Stegostoma tigrinum: one gene and its partners. The protein of the gene in region 1 binds, or shares a complex with, the protein of each later gene. Links are inferred from orthologs where the notes say so. Each region holds a gene or a part of one and is shown in the gene's direction. Other genes may lie near its edges.

Region 1 (8,033 bases):
TTTAAGCCTTTGTTTTTGACTAGATACTCCCCTTAACCACTTTTGTTTAGAATGGGTGATTCTTCCTTCTCATCAAGTCTGTTTTGATTGGAACAAATTTTTGCTGAGTATTATGAAATATCTGCTTAAATGTCTGTCAATGCTTATCCACTGACTTGCCCATTTTGTCAATTTTAGATAACTTTTGCTTCATATATCTGTCAGTATTCTTGTTTAACTTGTGTAACACTCCCTCAAACTAAATTTGAAATTCTTCTATTTTGAGATAGTTATGGATCCTAGAGGGGATAACAATGAGATCAGTTATTAATCACATCTCATTATACATTATTAGACCTAAACAGGCCTGTTCCCAAATAGCTTCAGTGATGTATAGTTCTGAGAAACAATCCCTGATGCACTGTTCAAATTCATCACAGAATTTTGGGCCCCATATCTCAGGAAGGATGTACTGGTGCTGGAGCAGGTTCAGAGGAGGTTCACGAGAATGGTCCCAGGAATGAAAAGTTTAACATATGAGGAACGTTTGAGGACTCTGGGACTATACTCATTGGAGTTTAGAAGGATGAGGGACGATATAATTGAAACTTACAGAATACTGAACGGTCTGGACAGAGTGCATAGTGGGAAGATGTGGAAGAGACTAGGACTTGAGGGTACAGCCTTAGAGTAAAGGGAAGACCCTTTAGAACGGAGATAAGAAGAAACTTCTTCAGCCAGAAAGTGGTGAATCTATGGAATTCATTGCCACAGAAGGCTGTGGAGGTCAGGTCATTGAGTACATTTAAGACTGAGACAGATATGTTCTTGATTATCAAGGGGATCAAGGGTTACGGGGAGAAAACAGGAGAATGGGGCTGGGGACTTATCAGCCATGATTGAGTGGTGGAGCAGACTCAATGAACTGAATGGCCTAATTTCTGCCCTACGTCTTATTTCTTGTCTTATGTCTTAATTTTTACAGCACAGAAGGAGACCATTCAGCCCATTGTGCCTGCACTCTTCAAATTAGCATCATTACAAGTGTCAATCTCCTGCTTTATCCCCAGATCCTTGCAGACTATTTCTATCCAGGTAATCATCCATGCCCTCCTGAACACCTCAATTTAACCTGTCTTCACCACATTTCCAGGCAGTGCGTTCTATACCCTTACTACTCACTGCGTGAAAAAAGATTTTTCTCACATTGCACTTGCTTCTTTTGTACATCACTGTTAATTTGTGCCATCCTGTCCTTTCTCTTTTTATGAGCAGGAACAGCTCTTCTCCCTATCTACTCTATCCAGCCCACTCGTGATTTTGAAACCCTCTGTCAAATCTCGTCTCACCCTTCTTCTCCCCAAGGAAACTGGTCCCAACTTCTTCAGTCTGTCCTCATAACTGAAGTTTCTCATTCCTGGAACCATTCTTGTACATCACTCCCGGACTCTCTCTAATGCATTTGCTTCTTTTCTAGAGTGTGGTGCTCACAACTGTACCTAATAGTCCAGTTGAGGTCTAAGTCGTGTGTTGCACAAGTTCACATCACCTCCCTGCTCTTGTACACTCTGGCCCCATTAATAGAGCTGAGAACACTGTATGCCTTATTACGTTCTCCCTCTACCTGTCCTGTCACCATTAGTGATCTGTATATAAATACACCCAGGCCCCTCTGCTTTTACCCTGTCTTTAGAATTATACCTCATATTTATGACATCTTTCAATATTCTTTCTACCAAAGTGCCTCACCTCACACTTCTCTGCATTGATCCTCATCTGCTATTCATCCACCAACTTGCCAATGTCCTTTTGGATACCACACTGTCCTCACACTTTATAATTCCCCCACATTTTATGTCATCTGAAAACTTTGAAATTGTCCTCTACACACCAAGATCCAAACCATTAATACATATCAGAAAAAGCAAAGCTCCCAGTACTGACCCTTGCAGACTTCCAGTACAAACCTCCCTCCAGTCAGATAAATATCCATTGACTACCACTGTATTTACTATCACTCAGCCAAGTTTTTATCCATTTTACTACATACCATGACATATAATTTTCCTCATATGTCTCTTGTGTGGCACTGTGTCAAACGCCTTCTGGGAATCCATGTACATCGCACCAGTGTTATCTTCCTCGAGCCTGAATGTTACTTCTACAAAAAAACTCCAGCAGGTTAATTAAACATACCTTCCCTTTAAAAATGTATGCTGATTCTACGGAATCAACCCACCGTTTTTCAAGTGACTACTAATGTTATCCAAATTAATTGTTTCTCGAGGCTTCTCCACCATTAAATTTTTGGCCTGTATTTGCTAGGATTATCTCCACAACTTTACTTGAACAAGTCTAATATTTGAACTGAAACAAAAATTGTTGGAAATCACAGCAGATCAGGCAGCATTTACAGAGAGACAGCAAGCTCATTTTTCAAGTTTAGGTGACTCTTCATCAAAGCTGACATGAAGTCTGGAGGATCAGCATTTATGGAATAGTTGGGGAGAGAGGGTGTGCAGTGCTGGGGAGAAAGGATGTTGATAGAGCAGGTTAAGTGATCGGAATGTGAGAATGACAGAATAATGGTGTGTCTGACTGCCAGACTGGGAAGAACAGAGATAATGGGAACTGCAGATGCTGGAGAATCCGAGATCACAAAATGTGGAGCTGAATGAACACAGCAGGCCAAGCAGCATCTCAGGAGCACAAAAGGTGACGTTTCAGGCCTAGACCCTTCATCAGAAAAGACTGGGAAGAACAGACTGTTCTAGTGGGTGGAGGGAGGGGAGAGAGGACGTGGTGACTGAGAATGTAACAAGCAAAGCTAAAGGAAAGGGAAGGAATGGGAGTGGGATATTTATAATATTTGCAATTCTGGCACCACCCCTGAATCCACAAAAGACGGAAAGATTATGGCCAGAATTCATCTTCCATGTTACGTTTTCCCATCTGATTTTCCTAGTTAATATGAGCCAAGTTAATTGTAATGCCCTTATTACACATTTCCGCTATGTTCCAACTTATACTTAGTCCTGCAATGAGTTAACTCCCAGCTGTGACTTCTATCCTTTGTTTTTCCTTATTTCCACTCAAACTGACTCCGAAACACAATCCAGTGCATCCATTCCACAGAGATTTGAAGTGTCATTTTATATTCCCTACAGTGTGGAAACAGGCCCTTCGACCCAACAAGTCCACACCCCCCCTTGAAGTATCCCACCCAGACCCATCCCCCTAGAACCCACACACCCCTGAACACTACGGGCAATTTAGCATGGCCAATCCACCTAGCCTGCACATCTTTGGACTGTGGGAGGAAACCGGTGCACCGAGGAAACACACGCAGACACGGGGAGAATGTGCAAACTCCGCACAGACACAGACAGTCACCCGGGCCTGGAATCGAACCCTGGTCCCTGGCGCTGTGAGGCTGCAGTGCTAACCACTGAGCCAACGTGCCGCCCCAGACTCGAAACTTTAGCTCGGTTTCTCTGTCCGCAAATGCTGCCAGATCAGTTGAGTTTCTCCAGTGTTATCCATGTATGTTTCAGATTTTCCAGTATCTGCAGTATTTTGCTTTCATTCGTTGATTTCTATTTGTGCTGTCCACTCATCTGTGTTTTGACAAATGCTGCGTCCATTCAGATAAAGATAACGGTTGACTTTTTAACCATTGTTACTTACGCTGATTTTAATATATGTCCCACACTCTGCTTATATTTTCTATCCCTCCCTATCACAGATTGATTATCGCTTGCATCTTCACGACCCTGCACCTCTTATTTGTTCTTTTTTAAGTTATAAAACTTCCCCGCAATTGAACCCTCCCACCTAATAAACCCCCCCTCCCAATAAACAACTGCACCTCCCAGTCGCAAACCATTTCCACTCCCCCTCCCATTCTTTAGATGACATGTCCATCATGGGCCTCCTGCAGTGCCACAATGATGCCACCCGAAGGTTGCAGGAACAGCAACTCATATTCCGCTTGGGAACCCTGCAGCCCAATGGTATCAATGTGGACTTTACCAGCTTCAAAATCTCCCCTTCCCCCACTGCATCCCAAAACCAGCCCAGTTCGTCCCCTCCCCCCAGTGCATCCCCAAACCAGCCCAGCCTGTCTCTGCCTCCCTAACCTCTTCTTCCTCTCACCCATCCCTTCCTCCCACCCCAAGCCACACCTCCATTTCCTACCTACCACCTCATCCCGCCCCCTTGACCTGTCCGTCTTCCCTGGACTGACCTATCCCCTCCCTACCTCACCACCTATACTCTCCTCTCCACCTATCTTCTTTTCTCTCCATCTTCAGTCCGCCTCCCCCTCTCTCCCTATTTATTCCAGAACCCTCTCCCCATCCCCCTCTCTGATGAAGGGTCTAAGCCCGCGTCAGCTTTTGTGCTCCTGAGATGCTGCGTGGCCTGCTGTGTTCATCCAGCTTCACACTTTATTACCTCCCATCTACTGATTGGTTTAAACAAGCAATCCTAGTTCTTCGATTCGTCGGGACACCATACATATCAATGGACGGAGGAGCTTTTATTAAGATTTAACTTAAATAATGTAAAGGGGGAGGATTGTGAAAATCCTGAGGCTTAAAGTGCAAAACCTCTGTAGCTACTAACTTGCACATTCCATAGATCAATAATCAGAATCATTCATTAATTGCTACACAATTTGTTGACAGCTTATTTTTTCCCTTGCGCTGCTCCTCCGATAACCCAATGAGCTTTGCACTGTCAACACAGTGTGGAGAGTGAGGAACGCAGAATACTTGGGGTATTGTTGTAAAGAGGAGCAGGACAGTTGACCGGGGTCCGGACCTGACTTGGGACTCCAGCATCTGCAGTTCTTGCTATAACTGGAGTTTTGCCCTGTCCGGTGTTTTGGGTGCAGGGCTCCTTTAATTAGGATTGTACCATCCCATGCACAGGAGAGGGGGCGCGCGTTTTCATTCAATTCCCATCGTCGCTGGCTCTTTGATGGTTTAACTCCACAATAAGACCAACGCTGTGGTATACATTTTTAAAGCCTCTCTGCCTCCCTGCTGGCCAGGAGTGTCTGTTTTTTTTAATAACTGTGCTGGGTGCTTTCCCTCCTCCCCCTCGCTCTGCTGTGTGAAGAGCTGGGGTAGGTTGGCGCCATTCAATGTGAGGAAGGGGAGCTGTAACATTGTGTCACTGAATAGATACCCAGCTTGGCGAGGTCTGCCATGCCTAGCAAGCGGAACTCAAAGGAGGACTCACACTCTGACCAGTGGGTGATGTTGGTACAAGGTAATCGCAAAATGGCGTTGGCTGGACTGCAAGGTTTTAATCAGTTGGTAGCACTGTCTCCTCAGATCCTGGTCCTGAGCTCAAATCCCACCCCAGAGATTTGGTCACAAAATCCTGAGGGAGCGCTGTGTTTTCGGGCCCCTGCCGCCCTCTCCGGGAAACACAAATAAAACCTCAGAGTCACAGCAGGCGTACATTCTCCCTGGTGTCTTGTCCAATCTCTCTTAAAAATAGGCTTGCGGTACTTATCTCGTTGCTGTTTATGGGATCTTGCTGTGTGGCAATTGGCTGCCAAGTTCTCTTCACTGCAATGGTGGCTACATTTCCAAAGGTGCATCATTAGTCGCAAAGACAACTAGAGATGGGGAAAGGTCCTGTATAAATGCAAATACTTTCTGTATTTTCAATTAGGAGATTTTCAGTAAGCGTGTTGGTTTGGTTTCCTGTCTTGTTTTTTGGCATATGTAGTTAAAGACGCTCCTTGTGCCAAGTCTCTGCAGATTACAGCATGAATTCTGACTGTTTTACATAATATGTACAATCCTAGAGTCTAGAACAGCGTGAGGATCGGAGGGAGTGAATGCCTGTTTTTCTAGGGGTGAAGGAACTGAATGTGCCACCTTGATCCAATATTTTCTGCAAATGACTCTGATCCAGGACATTGAGGAACAGATTCATTCCTCTGAAACCAGGGAACTTGAAAATGTGAAATATTTAACATTTTCATGTTAAGTTCTTATAAGTACCAAAAAACTGCTAAGTGTTTTACTATATCTGAAGGACATTGATTTTTATGCATTATCACGCAGTCCCTAAATGAAGGTATTGAAATATATTGTTTCTCCTAAATATACATTTGTTCATCAATTATAATGTGTTTCAAGATTACAGAATTTAAACACAACTGCAACATGAGAAATTTATATAAATATAAAGAAAAGACTTATGTAGCAGAACAGGAATGTCTAAACAATAGTGTAGTCACTGGCAAAATCAAGTTGAATAGTAGTAATGCTGCAAAGTATTGTATAAACTGAAAGTTTCGTGATGAGTAAAGGTCCTCATCAGCTCCTGTGTAATCATATGCCTGTGGCAGACTCCTTAGCAGATGATGTTTTGCACTGTAAGCCTCTCCTAGTATGCTGACACACAGTTTAATCTGGAATTGCAAAGTCATGCAGTTTACATTAGGTATTGGATGTGATTTTCAGAGGGAGTGAATATTTATTTAGTTTAATTCATTCTTGGGAGGGCTGGAATTTATTGTCCATCCTTTAATTGCTCTTGAAGAGGTGGTAAACCATCTTCATTTGTTTCTTGGTAGCAACTTAATACATTAGCTTGCTTGGGAAATTGATACCACATTGCCAATATTGCTGCAGTCATATACATTGATTGTAGATTTTATGTATTTTTTACACAAAGGTGTAAAGCCAGTTTTGAGGAACAGCTGGTTGTTGTCAATTCTGAACTTTTCACGTTTCCAAATTGGATTAATTCCAGAGTAGTAAATTGAACTTTTTTTGAGGAAATAATCAAGAAGTTTGATAAGGGCATTGTAGACATTGTTTACTTGGACTTAAGTAAAACATTAGACAGGGTTCCACGTGGCAGACTAATGAGTAAAGTAACATCATGTAGGATTCAGGATGAGCTTGCCAATTGGGTACAAACTTTGCTTAATAACAGCAGACAGACAGTGATGGTGCAAGGTTATTTTTCAGACTGGAGGCCTGTGACCAGCGATGTTCCGTAGGGATTGGTGCCGGCTCCAGTTTTGTTTACTGTTTATACAAATGATTTAGATGAGAATATAGAAGGCATGGTTAGTAAGTTTGCAGATGATGCCAAAATTGATGGTATAGTGGACAGCGAAGAACGTTACCTAAGATTACAAAGAGGTCTTGACCAGTTCGGTGAATGGGCTGAAGAGTAGCCGATGGAGTTTAATTTGGATAAATGTGAAGTATTGCATTTTTGTAAAAGAAACAAGGGCAGAACTTATGCAATGAAAAGTTGGGCCTTGGGTATTGTTGTAGAGTGGAGAGACCAGGGAGTTCAGAGATATAATTCTTTGAAATTTGCATTACATCTAGATAGGGTGGTTAAGAAGGCATTTAGCACGCTTGCCTTCATTGCTCAGACCTTTGAGTATAGGTGTTGGGATGCTGTGTTAGGACGCTCTGCTAGGATTGTACATGATATTCGTTGGGCCTTTTCTGGAGTACTGTGTCCAGCATTGGTCGTCCTGTTATAGAAAGGAAATTATTAAGCTGAAGATCATTCAGAAAAGATTTACTAGAATTCACCAGGAATGGAGAGTTTGAGTTGTAAGGAGAGGTTGGATAGGCTGGCACATTTTTCACTGGAGTGTAGGAGGTTGAAGGGTAACCTTTTATAGATGGAAGTTTGTAAAATCATGAGAGGTATAGATAAGGTGAATGGCAGGTGTCTTTGCGTAGGATGGGGAATTCAAAAAAGACGTGAGGGGCAGTTTTTTTTTAACAGAGTGGTTCGTGTGTGCAGTGAACTTCTAGAGGAAGTGGTGGATGTGGGTACAGTTATGATGCTTGAAGGATATTTAGATAAGTACGTAAATAAGAAATGTTTGGGGGGGATAAGGGCCAAGCACAGGCACAAGCAGTTGGCCTAGACTGGTTGGACTGAAGTTTCTGTTTCTGTGGTGTGCAACTCTATGAAGCACTCAGTATGCCTTCAGCAGGGATGCTTTATTGTTCTCTGATAACGGTGCAGATTGTGTTTTGATTTTGTTGCTC
Region 2 (7,832 bases), on another chromosome or scaffold:
GCCGTGGAGGCCTCCAGGATAATGTGACATCGCCTCGGCCCGACATTTTGAGGATTAGCAGATCCTTCTATGCCGGACTGTACGACACGAAGCCCACGGACTGCACGGCCTCCGAGTCGTTCCTGTCGTCTATCACGGAGGTCTTAGACGATGGCACGAGGGAGTGGCTGGACCGGCCGATATCCCTGGACGAGCTGACCAGAGCCCTCAAGTCCTTGGACAGGAATAGGACTCCCGGGAGCGACGGCTTACCGGTCGAGCTGTATTCTGCTCTGTGGGACCTGGTCGACCAGGACCTGCTGGAGGTGTATGATAGTGCGCTTCGGGCGGGGGAAATTTGCAAGTCCATGAGGAAGGGCATCATCACCCTCATTTACAAGAGGAAGGGGGAGAGGGAAGAAATTAAGAATTGGCGTCCCATTTCATTATTGAATGTGGACTACAAAATCCTGGCCAAGGTCATTGCCAACCGGGTCAGGTCTGTCCTGGAGTCAGTGATTCACCCTGACCAAACTTGTGCTGTGCCGGGCAGGAAGATCACTGAGAGCCTCGCACTCATCAGGGATACGATCGCCTACGTGCAGGACAGGCGGGTGGACACCTGCCTCATCAGATTGGACCAGGAGAAGGCCTTCGACAGGGTCTCTCATGCTTACATGAGGGATGTCCTCTCCAAATTGGGGTTCGGGGAGGGCATCCGCAATTGGATCCGGCTGCTCTACGCCAACATCGTTAGCGCAGTCTCGATCAACGGGTGGGAATCGGACAGTTTTCCTGTTAGATCTGAAGTCAGGCAGGGCTGCCCACACTCTCCTGCCTTGTTTGTGTGCTGTGTGGAGCCCTTCGCCGCATCCATCAGGAAGGACATGAGCCTGAAGGGCGTGACTATCCCAGGCAGCGGAGGACTTCAGGTCAAGACCTCCCTGTACATGGACGATGTTGCCGTCTTCTGCACCGATCGGTCGGTGAGTAGACTGTTGGACATCTGCGGCCAGTTTGAACTGGCCTCGGGTGCCAAAGTCAATAGGGGTAAGAGCGAGGTCATGTTCTTCGGGAACTGGGATGACCGCTCCTTCATCCCCTTCACCGTCAGGACAGACTACCTGAAGGTGCTGGATGTTTGGTTTGGTGGAGCTGGGGCGTGCACTAAGACTTGGGAGGATTGTATCACCAAACTGAAGCAGAAGCTGGGCAGGTGGACGCTCCGGTCCCTCTCCATCGCGGGTAAGAACCTGGTTGTCAGGTGCGAGGGGGCTTTTGGTACTGTTATATATGGCGCAGGCCTGGCCTATTCCCTGGGCCTGCGCCGCTGCGGTCACCCGGGCCATCTTCCACTTCATTTGGGGGTCGAGGATGGACCGGGTCCACAGGGACACCATGTACAAAGACCTGGGAAATAGGGGAAAGGGCGTACCGAACGCCACCCTCGCCCTGACGGCTACCTTTGTGTGCAGCTGCATCAAGCTGTGCGTAGATCCTCAGTACGCAAACACCAAGTGTCACTACTTACTGAGGTTCTACCTGTCCCCGGTGTTGTGAAGGATGGGCCTGGCCTTGTTGCCGTGGAACGCTCTGAGTAGTTGGACCATTCCGTACCACCTGTCCTTCGTGGAGACATTTTTGAAAGGAAACACCTTTGACCACAAGGCCGTCAGGCAGTGGTCTGCACGTAGTATCCTCAGGACCCTTCGGGAAAAGGAGAGGGTGGATCCCGTCGTGTAGTTCCCCACGCAGACTGCCAAAGTCATTTGGCAGAATGCCTCATCGCCAGAACTTTCAAACAAGCACAAGGACATTGCTTGGCTGGCGGTGAGAGGGGCTCTGCCAGTGAGATCCTTTATGCATGCCCGGAATCTCTGCACCACCGCACGCTGCCCTCGAGGTGGCTGCGGGGGGGACAAGACTGTCGACCACCTCCTTCTGGAGTGTGCCTATGCGCAGGAGGTCTGGAGGGGGATGCAGTGGTATTTGTCGAGGTTCGTCCCAAGCAGCTCCGTGACGCGTGACTCCGTGCTCTACGGGCTGTTTCCCGGGACGCACACCGAGACCAACATCAACTGCGCCTGGAGGACCATCAATGCAGTGAAAGATGCTCTTTGGTCTGCCCGCAACTTTCTGGTCTGCCAGCTGAAAGAACTGACCCCGACCGAGTGTTGCAGACTGGCGCACTCCAAGGTCCAGGACTACGTGCTGAGAGACGCGCTAAAGCTTGGGGCAGCCGCCGCCAAGGCGCGGTGGGGAAAGACCATGGTATGAAACCCCTCGTCCAGAATAGGAAAAAGGGCCCTATCCTGTACCTGGGCCCAGCTGGTGCCTTCCCCAACTGGTCAGGGGGCCAACGGGGACTGTGCGGGGTGACAACCGCCGGGGTATTTTCTTTGCTTTGGTTTTTTTCTTCTTTGTTTTTTTTCCTTTAGTTGGTGTATGTACCCCCTGGGTATCCCGAAGCAGCTTGCATGACTGGGTAGGTGTATAAATATGTTTTATTTTTTGTACATTTTATGAATAAAGCATATTTTTTCAAATAAAAAAAAGTGACGAAATGTCTGAAAACGTACCTTCCAGCTCAGCGAGCAAACTCACATCCAGAGCCTCAACCTGAGCTACAAATCTTCTCAAAACTCGCTATTACCTGGCTCTCTGGATTAACAGTTCAGCGATAATACCACAAGGCCATCACCCCGCTTCCCCCCTAATTTAAGGTACACCCACAACACTGTCACAGAGTCAGATAATGCAGAAACAGACACTTCGGACCATCCAGTCCATGCCAACAATAATCCCAAACGAAACTAGTCCCACCTGCCTCCACTCTTAGCCCATATCCCTCCAAACCTTTCCCGATTCATGTCCTTATCCAAATGCTTTTTAAACGTTGTAACTATCCCCAGATCCACCTCTTCCTCAGGAAGTTCATTCCACACACGACCAATCTCTGCGTAAAAAACATTGCCCATCACATCCTTTTTAAATCTGTCCTCTCTCACCTTAAAAATATGTCCCTTGGTCTTAAAGTCCCCCATCCGAGTGAAGAATCACCTGTCATTCACTTTATCTACACCTCTCATGTTTTATAAATCTCTGTAAGGTCACTCCTCAACCTCCTACACTCCAGTGAGAAGAGCCCCAGCCTATCCAGCCTCTCCTGATAACTCAAATGTACCATTCCCAGCAACATCCTCTTAAATCCCCTCTGAGCCCTCTCCAGATTAAGAAATCCTTTCAACAACTGGGAGACCAGAACCAGACACAGTGCACCAGAAGAGGCTTCACCAACGTCCTGTACATCCTCAGCATGACGTCCCCAACTCCTGTACTCAAAGGTCTGAGCAATAAAGGCAATTGTGCGAAACGCCTTCTTAACCCCCTGTCTACTTCAAATAATGGGGGACCTGAACCCCGAGATTTCTCCATGACCCCTGGGCCTATTTTTATTGGTATAATTCCTGCCCTTATCGGTTTTACCAAAATGCAGTACCTCACGTTTACCAAATGAAACTCCATCTGCCTCTCCTCAGCTCAGTGACCCAATTGGTCAACAGTACTAGAGATAATGGGAACTGCAGATGCTGGAGAATTCCAAGATAATAAAATGTGAGGCTGGATGAACACAGCAGGCCAAGCTGTGTTCATCCAGCCTCACATTTTATGGTCAACAGTACTCTTTGGGTGAAGATGAATTTCTTCACTGTTCATGACACCAAGTTTGATGTCATCAACAAACTTACTAACCATGCGAGGGAGGGAATTCCAGGGATTCTGACCCAGCGACACTGAAGGAACGTGGATATATTCCCAAGTTGGGATGGTGAGGGGTTCGGAGGGGAATGTGCAGGGGGTGCTGTTCCCATGAACCTGCTGCCCCTTGTCCTTCTGGATGGAAGTGGGTGGTGGGTTTGGAAGGTGCTGCCTGAGGGTCTTTGGTGAGTTTCTGCAGAGCACCTTCTGTGTCGCACCCGGTCCCTCAGCACTGACCCTCCGACAGTGCCCTCTCCCTCAGCGCTGACCCTCCGACAGTGCCCTCTCCCTCAGCGCTGACCCTCCGACAGTGCCCGCTCCCTCAGCACTGACCCTCCGACAGTGCCCTCTCCCTCAGCACTGACCCTCCGACAGTGCCCGCTCCCTCAGCGCTGACCCTCCGACAGTGCCCTCTCCCTCAGCACTGACCCTCCGACAGTGCCCGCTCCCTCAGCGCTGACCCTCCGACAGTGCCCTCTCCCTCAGCACTGACCCTCCGACAGTGCCCGCTCCCTCAGCACTGACCCTCCGACAGTGCCCTCTCCCTCAGCGCTGACCCTCCGACTGTGCCCGCTCCCTCAGAACTGACCCTCCGACAGTGCCCGCTCCCTCAGCGCTGACCTCCGACAGTGCCCGCTCCCTCAGCACTGACCCTCCGACAGTGCCCACTCCCTCAGAACTGACCCTCCGACAGTGCCCTCTCCCTCAGCGCTGACCCTCCGACTGTGCCCGCTCCCTCAGCACTGACCCTCTGACAGTGCCCGCTCCCTCAGAACTGACCCTCCGACAGTGCCCGCTCCCTCAGCGCTGACCCTCTGACAGTGCCCGCTCCCTCAGCGCTGACCCTCTGACAGTGCCCGCTCCCTCGGCGCTGACCCTCTGACAGCGCCCCCTCCCTCAGCACTGACCCTCCGACAGTGCCCGCTCCCTCAGCACTGACCCTCCGACAGTGCCCGCTCCCTCAGCGCTGACCCTGAGCCGGTGACGATGGGGATGAACTACAACTCCCAGAGCACCCCGCGGCCCCCAACAGTCATTTCGCGAGTGTCTTCCGTTTTGTTAGTTGCCACGTGACAGCGGTCAGAGGGCAGGAGGAGAGTGAGGCGGGACCGCGGGACACAAGCCTCGGGTGGGAATGGAGGGAGGATTAGACCGGGGATGGGAGCACAGGGCTGGGGGAGGAATGAGAGGGTTTCGAGGAGTGATGGCGGGGGGGAGGAGTGATGGCGGGGGGGAGGAGTGATGGCGGGGGGGAGGGGTGAAGAGGGTGGGGGGGTGAAGAGGGTGGGGGGGTGAAGAGGGTGGGGGGGTGAAGAGGGTGGGGGGGTGAAGAGGGTGGGGGGGGTGAAGAGGGTGGGGGGGTGAAGAGGGTGGGGGGGGGAGGGGAGGGGTGAAGAGGGTGGGGGGGGGAGGGGAGGGGTGAAGAGGGTGGGGGGGGGAGGGGAGGGGTGAAGAGGGTGGGGGGGGGAGGGGAGGGGTGAAGAGGGTGGGGGGGGAGGGGAGGGGTGAAGAGGGTGGGGGGGGTGAAGAGGGTGGGGGGGGGTGAAGAGGGTGGGGGGGGGTGAAGAGGGTGGGGGGGGGTGAAGAGGGTGGGGGGGGGTGAAGAGGGAGGGGTGAAGAGGGTGGGGTGGGGGAGGGGTGAAGAGGGTGGGGTGGGGGAGGGGTGAAGAGGGTGGGGTGGGGGAGGGGTGAAGAGGGTGGGGTGGGGGAGGGGTGAAGAGGGGGGGGTGGGGGAGGGGGTGAAGAGGGGGGGGTGAAGAGGGTGGGGGGGGGGGAGGGGTGAAGAGGGTGGGGGGGGTGAAGGAGGAGGAGGGGGGGGGTGAAGGAGGAGGAGGGGGGGGAGTGTTGGGGGGTGAAGGAGGAGGAGGGGGGGAGTGTTGGGGGGTGAAGGAGGAGGGGGAGAAGGGGGGGGGAGGAGGGGGGAGAGGGAGTGTTGGGGTGGGAGGGAGTGTTGTGGGGGGGAATGTTGGAGGGGGGTGAGGGGAAGAGTGTGTGGGGTGGAGTGGTGGGGGTGGAGTTGGGTGGTGAGGGGGTGAGATGTGGGTGGGGAATGTATGGTGAGAGGGGGGTTGCGAGTGGGGGAGAGGTACAGCGGGTGGGGGGTTGGGGATGGGTGGTGAGTCGGGTGGAGGTAGAGGGAGGTGGGGATGTGGTGAGAGGTGGGTGGGGGTTTTGGGATGGGAGGTGAGTGGGGGAGAGGTAGAGGTGGGGGAATGGGTGCGGGGGCGGAGATGGGGATGAACTGCCTGCTGTGCCTCGCAGATGTTTCGCTGCCGGTTTTACTTGCTGTTGATTAATGAGGTCCCTCTGATTCCCTACAGGAAGGCAATGGCGGCCGACTCAGTGATCACTGTGGATCTGAGTTCCCTGAAGTTCTCCGCCAGGGACCAGCTTCACTTGTTGCCTGTTGCTATCGAATCTGACGGCAGTGCCAAAGTGGAGCAGTACTTCAGCCCAGCTGTGCGGCACAGAGATGGGGGTAAGGCTTTGGCTGATTGCTCAACCTGGAGGGTTGCACCCATGACCACAACTCCAAGCAAACTCATCCAGCACAGCATTCAGGCCATTCTGCCCATCCAACCTGTGTAGATTTTCTGAATGATCTCTCTCATTCTTCCCTGCTGGTTCCCCTCCTTTTGAAAGTTCCTGTTGAATCTGCTTGCTCCCCCCCCCCCCCCCACCCTTTCAGGCAACACACCCCAGATCAGAACTCACTGCTTCAAGTAAAATATTCTCCTCATCTCTCCCCCCACCCCTTCCTTCAGGGTCTTTTCCCTCCATTTTCTTTGATCTGTATCTCTCTAGTGACCTATCCAAGATAGCAGACCTGTTCCAGGTGTAACCCAGCAACAGGGATGGGCCAAGGCAGGGACGTGCAGGCTATCGTTGGACATATAAAAAAAAAGGTAAATTTCTCTCAGAGTTGCAGGTGTCCTATCGAGGCCGAGCCTTGCAAGGTCGGGATCTTCCTGTGCCCCCTGGATATGTTGGACTTGTTCTGAAAGAGGACCATAAACCGTGCCTGGAGGAGGAGGTGAGACAGCACTCAATATTCAACTGTGAGCGCTCACCCGAGTCTAGGAACATCACCCAGTGGTGGAAGTTACATTCCTTTACAGCCTCCAACAGCACAGCGCTCCCTCGCTGCCAACCCTCCGACAGCATGGCGCTCCCTCAATGTTTACCTGTTGGTTGGCTCCAGTTACGTGGCTCATGTTCCTGAGGTGTACTGAAGCTGTGACCTCTAACTGAGAGGTGCCTATTTGTTAATGCAGGGTGACCTGCGCTGTTGGTGGCAATGTTTTGCTGGAAATGCTCCCTGCTCCTCATCAGGGCCAATATCTTTCCAAAATGACAACCTAAATATCATTCAATGAAATGTCACTTAAAACTTTTACTGTGATTTGCAGGACCGGAACGTCAGTGTTAAATCATCTTTCTCTTCAGTGACTTACTGGAACCTGGGATCTCCCCCAGCAGAAGACGACAGCGTGGTCATGGCGATGGGCTGGACTCAGATTGCAGAAGCTGTAAATCATTTATTACTTTAATCCCTTCAAACCGGTATCAACTTTCAGAACTTCAAACACGGAGACTCACTCCTGAGTCCCAAAACCCTAGGGAAGGAGCAAAGGCTGAATGGGTTAAATAGTGAGGGTGAGATGCACAGACAGGACACATTCCCTCGAGAGGCAGGGGTTAGAATGTGATCCATTGAGGGGTTTATGATGATTGAAGAATTCAGTTGTACCCGTAGAGAAGTCTTTGGTTTCCCTCTGGTTCAGCCCAAGCTGCAGAATCTTCCCCTTTAAAGTCAGCAGGTATGACGTCCCTTCTAGGGGTGAATGGCTTCTTGTTTCTATGTAGCAGGCAAGAGAAGAGGCTAAGGTTTTCCTCCCATTTCTGTGACCAGCAGGAGCACTGATATCTCAATTTTTAATATACTTCTAATTGACCTGTTCAGAAATGTTATTCAACATCTCTGGAGCAGATGGGACTTCAACCCCAAGTCACCTGGCTCAGAGTTAAGAACACTACACCTGTTCCACAGGGAACCCAACTGCCTTTCTCTGTCTTTGCCCTAACTGAGGGCA
Region 3 (7,653 bases), on another chromosome or scaffold:
GTGATGGTGGCTTTGGTGAAAGAGATCGTGTCAGCTGTGGTTATAAGGGGACAATAAGCAGAATACTTGCTGAATTGTGGCAAACACTTGAGAAACAACAGCTGCCAGTATGTTTCTTGTTGTAAAGAAGCATGCTGGCATTGTTAGGGAATACTAACTTAAAGACGAAGTACAGTCTTGAAGAATTGGGCCTGTATGGGTTAGAATAAGGTCTATCTACAAACCCAGGCCGTAGTTTTATTTATAATTACTTTTCAAGGAAACAGCTTACTCTTACTTGTGACCTTTCACAATTCGAAAGAAATTGAAGTCACACTTTTCAATGTGCAATCATTGTTGTAATGCAGGGATTCAAGTCAGTCAATTTGTGCACAGTTTTTCGTCATAAGGAGCAGGTATCATGCACACAGTGGATATTGTCCCTGTCTCTGAGTCAGAAGTGTATGAGTCATAATACAGGACATGATAGCCAAGAAAAGCATTCATGATGTGGCCAAACAGGTTTATTATCAAATAAAATCAAAATACTGCAGATGTTGAAAATCTTAAACAAAAGCAAAAACTGTTGGAGAAACTCAAGAGTTCTGGCAGAATATGTGGGGATGGAAACAGTTCTAACATTTGGAGTCCAATATGACTCTTCTTTGGACAGAAGAACAGATTGCTGTTGGACCTGATATTGTTGAGTATCATCCTGAAAATCCTTCCAACACACACAAATGATAGGCTGGAAGAATGGGATTCTTGGTTAGCTGTGTAATGGAAAGAACCTTGAAGTTTCTACCATCTATACCTAACGTCCAGAGTGCAACATGAATATTGTCATAGCAAGTGGAACTCCCTGAGTAAGCTGTAATGCAGCACCTTTGCACACACCATAAACACCAATAATGACCTGATAAAAACCAAGAGAACTGTGGATGCTATAAATCAGGAACAAAAACAAAGTTGTTGGAAAAGCTCAGCAGGTCTGGCAGCATCTGTGGAGGAGAAAACAGAGTTAATGTTTTCGGTCCAGTGACCTTTCCTCTGTTCTGAGGAAGGGTCACCGGACCCGAAACGTTAACTCTGTCTTCTCCTTCACAGATGCTGCCAGATCCACTGAACTTTTCCAGCAACTTTGTGTTTGTGAATAATAACCTGATGTTAACAATGAGGGATAACAATGGGAGAATACCCCTGATCTTCTTCAACTTGATGCCACGTCATCTTTTATGACCTGATGATAAGACAGATAGACCCTTAACTGGTTTAACATTTCATCTGAAAATTGTCACCTGCAACACCGAAGCACTCCTTCAGTACTGCACTGGAATGGCAATCTGGATTACGAGCTCAAATCTGGAGTGCATTTTGAGCTCTTGATATTCTATTTCAAAGGCATTTGAGTTCACCACTGGGCTGCAGAGGTAGTGCTGGAGGATCCAATCCCTGGAATTGGGAATTCTACTCATGGTATTTTTCTTTAGCTTCTAGTCATCTTACATCAATAAAAAGGTTAGGTAGAGATGGTAGAAGCTTCAAGGTTCTTTCCATTACACAGCTAACAAAGAATTTCTCTCATTCTTTCAGCCTGTCATTTGTGTTTGTTGGAAGAATTTTCAGGCTGATACTCAATTATGTGCTGATGTTCACTCTTCCATGTCCATGTTACACACAAGGAAAAAATGTTTGTTCCTGATTTTAACCATCATTGTGCTCTGAGTTGGAGGGCAACATTAGGAAATACTCAAAAGATTTAGTTAAAGTAAGTTTTGATGCTTGATCCTCAGTTGATGGCACTCTATGATCTCGAATTTCTAAAGGAAAACAAGTTATGTATTTTCTCATCACCAGTGCAACATTGTTGGAAAGAAAATGAAAAATCCTGTTTGCTTTGATAAATAAGGTTAAAGGGTTCATTTGGAGCTATATCGCCTTTCCTTCACTGTTGCTGGGTCAAAAATCCTAGAACTCCCCTTTAACAGCATTGTAGGTGGATCTGCACACCTTGAATTGCAGCAATTTGCTGGCAACTTAACATCACCTTCTCTGGAAAAATAGGGAAGGGCAATAAACATTGGCCAAGCCAGCTATGCCTACATCGCATGAATGAATTAAAAAAAAAACCTTTTGATGCAGTTTCAAAGGTAGAAAATAAGAGGCAGCAGAGTATGGTGTTTTGCCGCTTTATATTGTTTCGAAACTCTATACACAATTATTTTTGACAGATAATGTGATTAGTTAGGCAGCTATTTTGTCTTGGTAATATCCTATAAAATCTTGAATCTATTTGTTGCATTATGTTTAAAATATCTCAAAAGTGTCTCATCCAACAAAACACCGAAACCAGGCCTCATCAGCAAAATATTGCACTAGATGACCAAAAGCTAGGCTTTAAGATAACAAAGTGTGGAGCTGGACGAACACAGCAGGCCAAGCAGCATCTTAGGAGCACAAAAGCTGACGTTTCGGGGCTTTAACAGTTGTCTTAAAGAAGAAGAGGTGAGGACATTGGGGGGGGGGGGGGGGCATGGGGCTGAGGAATCAACAGTTGATGGAAAAGAGTGAAAGGCATACATGGATTGTGGGGTAAGGGAGTGGTATTAGGTCTAAATCAGTTGCAGAGATCCAAAGGAATGAGATCATGATGGGAGGTGAGTGTGATTCTGAACATTTTTAGTAACAAGTAGTCTGCAGACTGGATGGCAGTAAAAACCAGCGTTTGAATGTAACATCACATTAGTTAGGATATGGGTAGCAGAGAAACTTAAATTTGTGGATGGTAGAAAATGGTGGACCATCTACAGCATTGGAATAGCCAAGTTTGAAATACAAAGAGCAAATGCATGAACAGTTAATTAGCTTGGTATACAGTTTAAGGAAAATGTTGGCTGAGTCACTGGGAGCCTTGCTTCCTGCTCTTTGAACAGCGTAAAGACACTTCAGTCAACATCCATCTGAAAAGGCCGACATGTTGCTCCCATGGTAACTGTGAGGTAGTTGATTTTATTGCAGATAAAAATAAAGCAATATGCTGAAAATCTGAAATGAAACGGAAATGCAGAGAGGGCTTATCAGCATTTGAAAGGGGAATCTGGGCTAATATTTCAGGTGGAATAATTCATAAGAACATTTGAAGTTCAGAGAACCTTAAAATGAGATCAAGGGCAAATCCTGGATATGAAAAAGCATCACTTGATATCATATAAATATACATAACACAATCCAATGTTGAGTTCATTATTATGTGAGCCCTGTAAGCTATTTTATTGTTGGAGGACTATTTCCAATTTCAATACTTAACACAAAGGCAATGCAAAATGAATGGTCGACTGGCTGATCGCTTCACAGAACATCTGTGTTCTGCTTGCAAAAATGACTGTGTCCTTCCAATTGCCTGCCACCCTAACCCCCGGCTGACATCTGTCTCAGATATAAAACAGTGTGGAGCTGGAGGAACACTGACGGTCAGACAGGCAGCGTCAGAGATGCAGGAAAGTTGACATTTCAGGTCGAATCATTTCTGAAGAAGGGTCCCAACCCAAAAGGTCAACATTCGTGCTCCTCTGATGCTGCCTGGCCTACTGTGTTCCTCCAGATCCACACGGTGTTGTCTCGGAGTCCAGCATCTGCAGTTCTTGCTATCTCTCTCACAGGCTTGCTGCAGTCCTCCAGCAAAGCTCAGCACAAGCTGGGAGAATAACAAGAGATGATGAGAACTGCAGATGCTGCAGAATCCAAGATAACAAAGTGTGGAGCTGGATGAACTCATCAGGCCAAGCAGCACTTTAGGAGCATAAAAGCTGACATTTTGGGTCTAGAACCTGATGAAGTCATTCACCCTCCCAACCAGATCGTTATCAACTCCTTTATCCCTGTCCTCTTCCCTTTATCCTATTATTTACACCCTCTACCCCATAGCCCTCCCTGTTCTCTGCCCTTTATCCTATTATTAACACCCTCTACCCCATAGCCCTGTCCTCTGCCCTTTATCCTATTATTAACACCCTCTACCCCATAGCCCTCCCTGTCCTCTGCCCTTTATCCTATTATTTACACCCTCTACCCGGGAACTGCAGATGCTGGAGAATCCAAGATAATAAAATGTGAGGCTGGATGAACACAGCAGGCCAAGCAACATCTCAGGAGCACAAAAGCTGACGTTTCGGGCCTAAACGTTCTAGGCCTGAAACGTCAGCTTTTGTGCTCCTGAGATGCTGCTTGGCCTGCTGTGTTCATCCAGCCTCACATTTTATTATCTTTTTCCTAGCTACCATCAGTTAAGAGGAAGGGTCACCGGCCCCCAAACATTAACTTGATTTTTTTTCCTTCAGACCTGCTGAGCTTCTCCAGCAACGTCTGCCTTTGTTCCTGATTTACAGCATCCACACTTCTTTCGGTTTTTAATCGCTATTTAAAACGAAATTTGGTTCTGAGTCTTTAAAACTACAACTCCCAGGGGGTTTTGCGCAGAACTGCACATGCGCACCCAGTTAGTGACGAGCAGAACACCAAACGAAATCAAAATTTAAATTTGTGAAAATAGAGCTTTCTGTAAATGCTCAGTGTGGAACTTGTTGTATCTTTCAACAGCATGATTTTTAAAATAAAAACAAAACTGAGTGAAGTGGCGTTCAGGATGGCATCAGAGGTCAAAGGGCAGGTTGCCGCTGAGCGCGGGAGAGATTAGTTTGGCGGTTGCTCTCGAGACATTTAAAAGCGCAGCCATTGTTCTATTTAAGATTGGCGGTTGTTGTTATAATTTTGCAATGGACCTGAGCGAGTTTCAGGAGGACAGCAGTAAAAGTTACCGGCTGGTATCAAAGGTGCCCGCCGCCTGTCGGACTGAAGATTGCTGCCTGGGCATCGATGAAGCGGGAAGGGGACCGGTGCTGGGTGAGAGGCGGGGTATTTGGTTGGGGGAGGGGCGAGGATGGTGTGGAGGAGGGGCAGGGTGTCCTGTCCAGGGCCCTGAGTGTGTGTGTGTGTGTGTGTGTGTGTGGGGCTTGGGGTTTGTAGGGGCGGGTCTAGTGGGTCGAAGGCGTTGGCTTGTGGGGGCGGGTCTGGGAGATGGGGCTTGTGGAGTAGTTCTTGGTGGAGATGGTGCGCTGCTGATCTGTGGTGGCGGGATGTGGGAAGAAGCCTGGATTTGAATCGGGGAGGGGTGGGAAGGTGGGTGCGTGAGTAATGGTTGGATTGGGGGAGTGTGAGAAGGGGAGGGGAAAGCAGAGGGACAAGGAATTTGGGGGAGATCTGGGTCTGTGGGGAGGGACTAATACAGGGAGGGTGGCAAGGACTAAGGGGAATTGGGGAGTGGTTGGGACTGGGTGAATCGGGTAGTGGTATAGCTGTGAATGGCAGGGGTTGGTCAGTAGTTAAGGGGAAGGGTTGAGTTGAGTGGTGGTCTCGGAGAGGAGGAAGGCCTGGTTGAATAACTGGGGGAAGGCCTAAGATTGGGGATGAGGGGTGAGGGAGGGGCTAACTGATTGGGTAAGTGGGTGTAGGTCTGGCTTAAGAGGCCAGGATTAGGCAAACGGAGGAGAGGGTAGGGCGAGTGCTGGGTCAATAATGGAGGCCTGGGGAAAGCCCAAAGGAACAAAGGGGGAGGATCAATTTGAGTGTGGCTGTAGTGGTGGGAAAAGGGTTGGTGAGGGCTGGGCAAATGTGGAGGGGGAGATGGTTAGTTCTGAATGAATAATGGAGGGAAAGGGGGTGTGACCTAGAGGAAATGGCTTCAGGTGCCTCAGTCTTTGATCATGATATCTGCCTGTAAGGATACTGATACTCCTGCTTGCACTGCTGCAAAACTTGTACTGAATATTTATAGACATCACCTCAAGATCCTGGAGAGTTAACGAAATCAACTGAAACAGGAGCTTGATTCGAACATTCAGTTTGTTTAGCAAATGTAGTATTCGAAATGTATCATCTACTTCAAATTTAACAGCTTCTGCCAAAAAATTGCAGCTAATTTAAGATTAGCACAATTCATGCTGCAAGATCAACTGACTTCTTGAGCCAATAAATCTGTCAGAAAATTCTCTTTTGTTAGTTGCTAACAACATTGAAAACGCTGTTCCACTTTGGGGCTTTCCTGTTGAAGTGGAAACGTTTGCCTATTACTTTGTACTGCCAAATAGAAAAGAATAGACAAGAGATTAACAGTAATTAGCAACAATTTATTGCTCTCTTTGAACAATTGCACTGTTTTATTTTGTTTTTAGATTGTTCTAAAGTCATTTACTGCTTGGTGCATTTAATGAGTTAGGTGGTGGAATAAAATGACTAATAATGCTTGTTAATTACCTTGCCAATGATATTCAGCTTTTTTTCACACCCCTGCTCCAGACCAGTGGTGCAGGTATGCGCTGAAAATATTTGACAACCTTTTTCCTTGCTGATGTGCTCATGGTAGGGAATGTCTAAGGAGAGGGCCTTAGAACACAAAGAATGGGAGGGAGAGTTGAAATGGTTCTCGAACTCCACCCTCACCCCCATCCCAGACCCCAAGAAGACTTTACACATCAAGCAGATGTTCACCTGCACTTCTGGCAATGTGGCATACTGCATCTGCTGTACCCTACAAGCCCCTACATCAGGGAAACCAGGCAGAGGCTTGGGGACCGCTTTGCAGAACACCTCCTCTCGGTTTGCAATAAACAACTGCACCTCCCAGTCGTGAACCATTTCAACTCCCCCTCCCATTCCTTAGATGACATGCCCATCCTGGGCATCCTGCAGTGCCATAACGATGCCACCCGAAGGTTGCAGGAACAGCAACTCCTATTCCGCTTGGGAACCCTGCAGCCTAATGGTATCAATGTGGATTTTGCAAGCTTCAAAATCTCCCCTCCCCCCACTGCATCCCGAAACCAGTCCAGCTCATCCCCGCTCCCTAAACTGTTCTTCCTCTCACCTATTCCCTCCCACCTCAAGCTGCACCTCCATTTCCTACTTACTAACCTCATCCCGCCCCCTTGACTTGTCCGTCCTCCCTGGACTGACCTATCCCCTCCCTACATCCCTACCTACACTCACCTCTACAGGCTCCATCCCCACCCCTTTAACTTGTCTGTCTCCTCTCCACCAATCTTCCCCTCTATCCATCTTCGATCCGCCTCCCCCTCTCTCCCTATTTATTTCAGAAACCCCTTCCCCTCCCCCCTTTCTGATGAAGGGTCTAGGTCTGAAACGTCAGCTTTTGTGCTCTTAAGACGCTGCTTGGCCTGCTGTGTTTATCCAGCTCCACACTTTGTTACCTCAAAGTCTTTCATTGGTTAGTCCACATGTTGAAATAACACCAATTTATTTTAAATGCAGCAGGGTTAGTTTCAAAATCTAGACAAGTGTCTTGTGTATAATCTGGATTAATTAAACTAGGAGAAACTGTTGTTCCCAGATGATACGTTTAAGATAATTGACAAATGAACTAAGGAGAAGGTGAGAAATGTTTTCATGCAGCAGGTTGTTATGATCGGGGATGTGCTGACTACGTGGTGGAAGCAGATTCAGTCATAACTTTCCAAATGGGTGTTGGATAGATAGTTGGAAAAGCAACATTTTCTGGATTATGGGAAAATAGCAAGCGAGTGGAATTAATTACAGAGCAATTTTTAAGAACAGGCTGAGGTACAAGGAGGCAAATGAGACTTGCTGCATTTTATAGTAGGA

What was found.
Region 2: the proteins of rnaseh2b (region 1) and rnaseh2c are in contact, whole or in part, in a crystal structure (PDB 3PUF), measured with the Homo sapiens proteins. The link is inferred for Stegostoma tigrinum from reciprocal best matches to the Homo sapiens genes RNASEH2B and RNASEH2C. Residues at the interface, in NP_078846.2 of Homo sapiens: Arg14, Gln15, His16, Val17, Phe18, Leu19, Val20, Ser21, Glu22, Leu24, Leu35, Met36, Phe37, Val38, Lys39, Leu52, Glu62, Lys64, Phe66, Glu68, His70, His71, Ser72, Trp73, Phe74, Ile75, Asn76, Gln77, Ser78, Val79; in NP_115569.2 of Homo sapiens: Ile9, His12, Arg13, Val14, His15, Leu16, Ser18, Ala27, Thr28, Leu29, His30, Leu31, Leu32, Pro33, Cys34, Glu35, Val36, Ala37, Val38, Asp39, Gly40, Pro41, Ala42, Pro43, Val44, Gly45, Phe48, Phe63, Val75, Pro77.
Region 3: the proteins of rnaseh2b (region 1) and rnaseh2a are in contact, whole or in part, in a crystal structure (PDB 3PUF), measured with the Homo sapiens proteins. The link is inferred for Stegostoma tigrinum from reciprocal best matches to the Homo sapiens genes RNASEH2B and RNASEH2A. Residues at the interface, in NP_078846.2 of Homo sapiens: His16, Phe18, Lys39, Asn42, Gly48, Ala49, Ile50, Val63, Lys64, Val65, Phe66, Lys67, His70, Phe74, Val79, His86, Phe87, Val183, Tyr211, Gly214, Leu215, Asp218, Tyr219; in NP_006388.2 of Homo sapiens: Val227, Phe228, Ile253, Trp254, Glu255, Ser284, His285, Tyr287, Phe288, Arg291, Gly292, Leu293, Glu294, Ser295, Ala296, Thr297, Ser298, Leu299.

The regions. Positions count from the first base shown.
Region 1 is NC_081365.1:70,977,045-70,985,077, reverse strand, and holds the start of rnaseh2b (ribonuclease H2 subunit B), read left to right. Parts: upstream 1-5,007; 5' UTR 5,008-5,192; coding exon 5,193-5,256; intron 5,257-8,033. UniProt on the Homo sapiens protein: Non catalytic subunit of RNase H2, an endonuclease that specifically degrades the RNA of RNA:DNA hybrids. Participates in DNA replication, possibly by mediating the removal of lagging-strand Okazaki fragment RNA primers during DNA replication.
Region 2 is NC_081395.1:3,960,452-3,968,283, reverse strand, and holds the start of rnaseh2c (ribonuclease H2 subunit C), read left to right. Parts: upstream 1-4,795; 5' UTR 4,796-4,867; intron 4,868-6,059; 5' UTR 6,060-6,066; coding exon 6,067-6,217; intron 6,218-6,659; coding exon 6,660-6,772; intron 6,773-7,148; coding exon 7,149-7,268; intron 7,269-7,832.
Region 3 is NC_081388.1:17,345,474-17,353,126, forward strand, and holds the start of rnaseh2a (ribonuclease H2 subunit A), read left to right. Parts: upstream 1-4,635; 5' UTR 4,636-4,751; coding exon 4,752-4,878; intron 4,879-5,473; exon of another isoform or gene 5,474-5,738; coding exon of another isoform or gene 5,739-5,751; intron 5,752-6,121; exon of another isoform or gene 6,122-6,146; intron 6,147-7,653. UniProt on the Homo sapiens protein: Catalytic subunit of RNase HII, an endonuclease that specifically degrades the RNA of RNA:DNA hybrids. Participates in DNA replication, possibly by mediating the removal of lagging-strand Okazaki fragment RNA primers during DNA replication.